Oryctolagus cuniculus: one gene and its partner. The main gene of each other region encodes a partner of the protein of the gene in region 2 in a complex. Links are inferred from orthologs where the notes say so. Each region holds a gene or a part of one and is shown on either strand. Other genes may lie near its edges.

The links.
Region 1: the proteins of SCML2 (region 2) and H2AJ are in contact, whole or in part, in a crystal structure (PDB 4EDU), measured with the Homo sapiens proteins. The link is inferred for Oryctolagus cuniculus from reciprocal best matches to the Homo sapiens genes SCML2 and H2AJ. Residues at the interface, in NP_006080.1 of Homo sapiens: Asp182, Asn185, Tyr187, Leu188, Cys190, Phe206, Trp209, Phe213, Pro239, Pro240, Gly241; in NP_808760.1 of Homo sapiens: Leu35, Arg36, Lys37, Gly38.

Annotation. Positions count from the first base shown.
Region 1 is NC_091440.1:112,556,257-112,560,360, reverse strand, and holds H2AJ (histone H2A.J), read right to left. Parts: upstream 2,808-4,104; 5' UTR 801-2,807; coding exon 411-800; 3' UTR 282-410; downstream 1-281. UniProt on the Homo sapiens protein: Core component of nucleosome. Nucleosomes wrap and compact DNA into chromatin, limiting DNA accessibility to the cellular machineries which require DNA as a template.
Region 2 is NC_091453.1:4,445,163-4,448,810, forward strand, and holds part of SCML2 (sex comb on midleg-like protein 2), read right to left. Parts: intron 458-3,648; coding exon 334-457; intron 1-333. UniProt on the Homo sapiens protein: Putative Polycomb group (PcG) protein. PcG proteins act by forming multiprotein complexes, which are required to maintain the transcriptionally repressive state of homeotic genes throughout development.

The DNA.
Region 1 (4,104 bases), on a different chromosome or scaffold from region 2:
GTTCTGGTTTACTACAGACAGGGCAGGGGAGCCAAGGCCCTGGGAAGACGCTCCAGGGTAGGCCGCGCCGCACCTACTCGGCCTCTGCTCTCGGCCCGCGGGCCAGGGGGGGCTCCCCACCCTGCCCACCTCCAGGCCGCCCTCCTCTCCCCGTAACGCCCCCGGGTGGCCTGCGGGGCAGGGCGGTTCGTGGGCGGCTCAGATGGATCCAGCAGTGCCGTCTGCCCGCCCCTCCCCCGGGGTCATCCACCAGTTCCCGGCGACTACACAGCTCTCTCGACTACACGATTTTCACCGACTTTATTGGCTCCGGACCCCCCTGACATCCAGCACAGTCAAGAGTACTGCGGGACGGCGACGAAGAGAGGCTTGGCGGGGGGAAGCCGGCTCCCTTTTCGGCGGCGCCAGGGTCACTTGCTCTTGGCCTTCTGACTCTCCGTCTTCTTGGGCAGCAGCACGGCCTGGATGTTGGGCAGGACGCCGCCCTGCGCGATGGTCACTTTCCCCAGCAGCTTGTTCAGCTCCTCGTCGTTGCGGATGGCCAGCTGCAGGTGGCGGGGGATGATCCGCGTCTTCTTGTTGTCGCGCGCGGCGTTGCCGGCCAGCTCCAGGATCTCGGCCGTCAGGTACTCCAGGACCGCAGCCAGGTACACGGGCGCCCCCGCGCCGACCCGCTCCGCGTAGTTACCTTTGCGCAGCAGTCTGTGCACTCGGCCCACCGGGAACTGCAGGCCCGCGCGGGAGGAGCGGGACTTGGCCTTGGCCCGCACTTTGCCGCCCTGCTTTCCACGACCGGACATGTTCACCTCTAACCTCAAACGCCAGCCAGGCCGGAAAAAAGCAAAAAGAAAAAAAGCCAAACAACCAACCGAGTCCGGTCCGCGAATGAAGCGAACCCTACCGGAACTGCCTACAAACTCTTTGCGGCCACTAGGTAGCGCCTTCCCATTGGGCGCCGCAACATCCGCGGCTCCAGTGGTCAATGATAGGCAGGCTCCGCTCCCAACCAGCGGGATTGCAGAGGGACGGCCTGCTGCAGCTGTGTCCAATCAAAAGAGCAAACGCCTAGTCCTCATTTACATAGCCGCCCATATGAATACTCAGGGGGGCCGAGTGCTCCGCTTTAGGAAACCAGGTGAATATAGCAGATGTTGATGTTTCTGTGTCCGCGCTCGCTCCCAGAGAAATAAACTCCTAAGAAATAAAGAAACGTGGTTGGAAACAGTCCAAGTCTGGAGGCAGAGCTGCTCTGTGCACAAGTACGAAGCGCTGGAGCCAGAGGTGCCCCCGCTGAGGCACACGTGTGCCAGAGGTTGCTGTGCTTTCGCTGGGAGGCCTTTTTTTTTTTTTTTTTTTTTTTTTCTGGAGTGCGGCGTCCTAGCCAAGTGGTTGCTGACTCCAGAGCCCGCGGTTCTGAGCAAAGCCGCTCACCAAGCAAAATCCTGCCTTGTGCCTTTATACCAGCTCCGTGCAGTGCTGGGGGTGCGGATGGGGGGCTGGCTCCCACAGAGGCCTCCTTGGTGCTGGGCCATCGGAGCTGTGCTGAGTAGACCAGATGACACTGCTGTGCCCACAAAGTTGCAGCTTTTGGGCTGCGAGTCGTTCAGTTCTAAGGGCTTTGGAACAGGAGTGGCAGACCGGGTGAGAATTCCATCTCCTGAAGGAGAGAACAGGGTCGCTTCGCTGAAACCTGCTCTCTCTTGTCTTCGAGGTTGTGGACCTGGGTTACTGGGTCGGACGGCTTGGCTTTGGCCGGCTCTGTGTAAGTCACAGCATCGCGGGTCACTTCCCCGGGAAGAATCCTTGCAGTTGGCTCCAGAGACTAAAGGAAAAACAGCAGCAGCTTGTTCCTACACACCTGAACTGCAGACCCACAGCCTTTGTTTGTTGTTGTGTTTTTTCTAATTCCTTGAGGTAATTTCGGCGTTCTCCACAGGAACGCTGCTACTTGATGCGATGTTAAGGCACATACATACTAACATAAGCATTTATTTGGGGGCTGGCATTGTGGCCCAGCCATTAGGCCGCTGCTGGTGATGGATGCCAATTTGAATCTCAGCTAGTCCATTTCTGATCTAGCTGCCTAACGGGCCTGGGAAAGCAGCAGATGATGGTCCAAAGGCTTGGGCCCCTGCCTCCCAGGTAGGAGACCAGGATGGAGTTCCAGGCTCCTGGCTTTGATCTGGTCCAGCCCTGGCTCTTGTCAGTTGGAAAGCCAACTCACAAACGAAAGATCTCTTTCTGTCTCTTCCTCTCTCTCTGTTGCTCTTTCAAATAAATAAATCTTTTTTAAAAAAGTATTTTTGTGTGAATTTTAGTATCCATTTAAGTTAAAAACAAAACCTCTTGCTGCCCTATTAACCATTTGATCTCTCTGAAATAGTTTTCAAGTACTCTTCTCTGTTCTTACATCCTCGCACAATGATTGCCCCAGTAGTGGTGATTTAATAAATGTCTCTGAGGCTGAGAAGCAGCCTGTTTTGGTTAAGATGGTCATCCTGGCGCCAGACTGCTTCCATCCAAATCCTGGCTTTTGTTAGTAAAATGGTGCCGTCTTATCTGTGGCACCATCTATGCCTGGGACACCCTCCTAGGCTCTGGCTCCCACCTCCATTGCTACAAGCCAGGTGACCAATGGCCCAACCACAGGTGTCAGCTCCACCCCAGCCCTAATGGGATTCACTGCTCCTACTTCCCTGGCCCCTAGAAAAGGTATAACAGGGCCTGCTTCCTGTACACACACTTGTGCTCTCTCTTGATCTCTCTCTCTCCTGATTCCTCTCCCTCTTACTCTCTCCCCCTCTCCCCCAGCCTGTCAGGATTCTCCCACCAGACAATAAAACTTTCCCTTAACTCTGGTGTTTGATGTCTTTTGCGGCGGCCTTACAGCTTTGCTATTTATCAGCTGAATTTGGATAAGTTATTAACTTCCCTACCTATCTCAAAGTGTTGTTTGGAAAATAAAATACATTTGCGAGCATCTAATATCTCTTAAATGTACAGAATAAATGGGCATACAAAACTCTGATGTGGTTTATAACAAGATGTCCCTGGAATGAGTTCTGTAAACTAGCTTAAATTTTTGTCTATATCATGGGAAACTTCTAACAGATTTTGTAAATTACTACTTGGGCCACATTTTTCCTTTTTATTCTTGTAAGCAAAGATTTCTAATTTGAAAAGTTCTGATTTGATATTTTAGAAGAGTAAATATAAAAAATCAGTCAATTTGCAATGATAATTCTCATTTCTTCAAGATCTGATAAGCTTTTCCTCCTTTGAGTCAAGGATTAAAATTATGTAGTAAAGTCTCATTATTCAGGATTTTGTCCAGCCATAACAAGCATTCCAAAGGCTCTTTTAATTCATCTTTTTTTAAAAAAATTTTTGACAGGCAGAGTAGACAGTGAGAAAGAGAGAGACAGAGAGAAAGGTCTTCCTTTGCCATTGGTTCACCCTCCAATGGCCACCGCAGCTGGCACGCTGCAGCCTGCGCACCGCACTGATCCGATGGCAGGAGCCAGGTACTTCTCCTGGTCTCCCATGGGATGCAGGGCCCAAGCACTTGGGCCATCCTCCACTGCCTTCCCGGGCCACAGCAGAGAGCTGGACTGGAAGAGGAACAACCAGGACAGAATCCGGTGCCCTGACAGGGACTAGAACCCGGTGTGCCGGCACCGCAGGCAGAGGGATTAGCCTAGTGAGCCGTGGCGCCGGCCACAAATATTACAAATTCTTACCTTTTCTGCAGGAAAGGCTTATCTTCAAGACTAGGAACACTGAATCCAATTTTCTAACTATTCATTCCTCAAGATATTAATTAAGCACCTGAGAAGCAGTTTTGAATCATCTCCTAAATATCCATGCCTTTTAATGGGAGTCAACCTTTGGTGAGAGTACTGTCTCCTTAAGCAAGACAATTAACCGAAACTTTCGTTTGTATTCAGGATTTCTTTTGAGAAAGGATTAGTGGCCTTTTAACTGATACGTGAGGTATAAATCTCTTTCAAAACCACACTTGTGGCATCCACTTATTTTACAACTTTTAATTTTTAAGTGGAAGATGTGAGAGCCTTGGATCTGATTGGCATAAGAAAAAAATGT
Region 2 (3,648 bases):
TATAAGGGGTCTTCAAAAAGCTCATGGAAATGCATATTATTGAAAATTATGCATAAATTTAAAACTTTTTACATCAAAATAAATTATCTTTTTTCTATTTTTCTATGAACTTTTTGAAGTATCCTCATATTTATGCAGAATGTTTTTCCCTAACATCAAACTGATCAATTAGCATTACAAAATACTTTAAAATATGAAAAATACTAAAAGAAATGCTTACTATTATCATCTATTATCATCTTTTCCCCTCTTAACTCTAGGACATCAAAGAACTGAAAACAATACAGAATAAAAGACCGGAAATTTTATACTCTTTTTAAAATACTAACTTACCTGTAGACATCACTATTTTAGACATTCTAGGAGCAGCATCCCTATCACCTGAATTGGCACTCTCTCTGATCAGCGTTTTTAAAGAAGTTGAAGATGTAGAACACAACACAGGAATGATTTTTTCCTGAAAGAAAAAAAAAAAGAAAGAAAACACAAGTTTAAACTACTTTTTAAAAACTTCCTAGCAAGAAATCCAGAAGAGTATAGGTATTGTTGGTTCACCAGATTTTGTTACAAAAGTCCTCAATGTTGGCATCCTTGTGTGTGTGTGTCACAACCTGCAGAACTTCCTCAACTGAGTCCCTCAGAGGCTACAGGCTACCCACGTCAGGGAAGTAGAAACAGAGAGGCTGAGACTCCTTCCTCTACTACCTGCTCCAACCATGCACACCTTAGCCACATTATTTCACCAGGTAAAACTGTTTTAATTTTTGAGGCTTCATGTAAGATAATTTTTTTCACACTGCTAAAGAAAAGTCTGTAAATCTTTAACCCAGATCAACACATTCAGTAGGGGGAAAAAAAAAACCACAGAAGAACAAAACTCAACAAGGCAAAGGACTTTTGACAGCAGTTGTTCATGTAGCCTTCCCTGTGTCTAGCCTGCACTTCTCCACATGAAATATAATAATTTTGACAAAATTACAAAGTGGTTTGCTAAAGTTCATACTTCAATGTTGACAGAATTTATTTGTAAATTAATGACTGTCATTTCAGTTCACAGTATCCTAATAGATGATGTTACTTTTAAGTATGGAATTATAATTATTGTGTTGATAATCTTATTATTTCAGTATTTTAAAAATCTGAAATCTGAACCCTTTAGCATGAGACATACCAAGATAGTATGGCTTACATTGACATTGCATATTGAATAAAAGGTACATTGATTTAGAAAATGTGCATCTATACTTCTAGAATCCTTAAGCTTAGGTGGGAAAAAGTGACAGTTGACAAAAGAATAATTTTTACTCTTGTTCAATGATTCTCTGAATAACTAAACTATGAGCATGGTAGTACTAAAATACGGATATAGGTAACTGCATGAGAATCTTCCTCTTTTCATAAGACATTGAAGCTAAAAAAAAGTGAACTGAAATGCTGTCTTTGAAACAAAAATATAATTATCAGAAAAAGATTAGAGTATTGTCCCTTCCCATTCCATACCACTAAAAAAGCAATGTTTTCAAAAAGATATCTTCAAAATTATTAAATTAGCATTCGAATTGGAATATAAAGGAGCCAAAAGAAATGATGTAGAGTTATCTCATACTTTCAACCATTAAACCAACTAATCACAAAAAGTTTTCAGCAACTGTAAAATATACATGCATGTTAATTTAAAAATGTACTTAAAATAGTATATTATTTCATTTTAAATTTCACTATTAATTTTTATTTATTTTTCATTTAAAAAAATCTCATCTGCTATGATTTGCATTAATCTGCTTGACTTTTTCAGTGTTTATAATTACATATTTGAAATACAACATTTAGTTTTGTTTACTTTTAGTTTATAAATTTTCATTGATTAAATAAAAATATCAGTATCAATATTTTTTAAATCAAAGTGGTGTTATTTTGTTTCATATTGTAAACATCAGTAGAAACACTATAGATACTGGTATCAGATGGCTAAACTCAAGAAATGTTTAAGGTAATACCTATGAAATTAAATTCAATCAGCACCAATAAAGCTGAGAAGATTATAGGCCTTTATATTTAGAGTACATTTCCTATACATAGGATGTATTTGGGTCTTTTTAAAAAATCATTTCATAATCTTTTAATTGGAAAGTGTATTTTAATAACTTGGAATGTGATTATTAATACATTTGGGCCTAGTTCTACCATTATTTGTTTTCTATTTATCTCTTCTGTGTTCTTATTCTTCCTTTCTTTTTGAAGTATTTGGATATTCCTTAGAATTCCATTTTAATTTATTTTCTTACTGGTTTTTTAACCTATACTTCTTGGTCATTTTTTCTTTTTAAAGATTTTATTTATTTATGAGAGGCAGAATTACAGGGAGAGAAAGAGAGAAAGGTCTTCCATTCGCTGGTTCACTCCCCAAATGGCTATGAGGGCCAGAGCTGGGTTGATCCGAAGCCAGGAGCCAGGAGTTTCTTCCAGTCTCCCACGTGGGTGCAGAGGCCCAAACACTTGGGTCATCCTCCACTGTTTCCCAGGCCATAAGCAGAGAGCTGAGTCAGAAGAGGAATAGCTGGGACACAAACCAGCACCCATATGGGATGCTGGGGCCACAGGCAGAGGCTTAGCCCACTACGCCACAGAGCTGGTCCCAATATATATATTTTTTTGATAGGCAGAGTGGACAGTGAGAGAGAGAGAGAGACAGAGAGAAAGGTCTTCCTTTGCCGTTGGTTCACCACCCCACCAATGGCCGCTGTGGCCAGCGCACTGCAGCCGGCGCACCACGCTGATCCGAAGCCAGGAGCCAGGTGCTTCTCCTGGTTTCCCATGCGGGTGCAGGACCCAAGCACTTGGGCCATCCTCCACTGCACTCCCGGGCCACAGCAGAGAGCTAGACAGGAAGAGGAGCAACCGGGACAGAATCTGGCGCCCCGACCGGGACTAGAACCCGGGGAGCCAGCACCGCAGGCAGAGGATTAGCCTATTGAGCCGCGGCGCCGGCCCCAATATTTTTTTAAAATATGTACTAGGGATTACCATGGACATCCTTAACTTTCCAGAGTCAACTTAGAATGCTGAAACCTTGCAATGGTAGAGATCCATAGGCCTCATCTCAGGCCTTTATACAGTAATGGTTTTATGTATTATATCTATGTATAACATAAAATCTTAGAAAAGTATCACTATGTTTCTGAATCTGTATATATAAAATACATGAAATCTGTAGACCTTAAAGAAAATTAAAAAACAAAACTGGAAAAAAAAAACCTGAAGTCAGTACCCATTCAACAGGTTAATGTAAGACAACAGAGTTATGAAAATAAACAAACAGAACGAGAGTTACAATCACAATATACAGTAGACACTCCCTCAATATTAGCATATTATCATAAAACTAAAAAACGAGAGGCCAGCACCGTGGTACAGGTTAATCCTCCGCCTGTGGTGCTGGCATCACATATGGGCGCCAGTTCTAGTACCAATTGCTCCTCTTCCAATTCAGCTCTCTGCTGTGGCCTGGGAAAGCAGTAGAAGATGGCCCAAGTACTTGGGGCCCCTACACCCATGTAGGAGACCGGGAAGAAGCTCCCAGCTCCTGGCTTCGGATCGGCACAGCTCTGGCCATTGCGGCCATTTGGGGAGTGAACCAGTGGAAGGAAG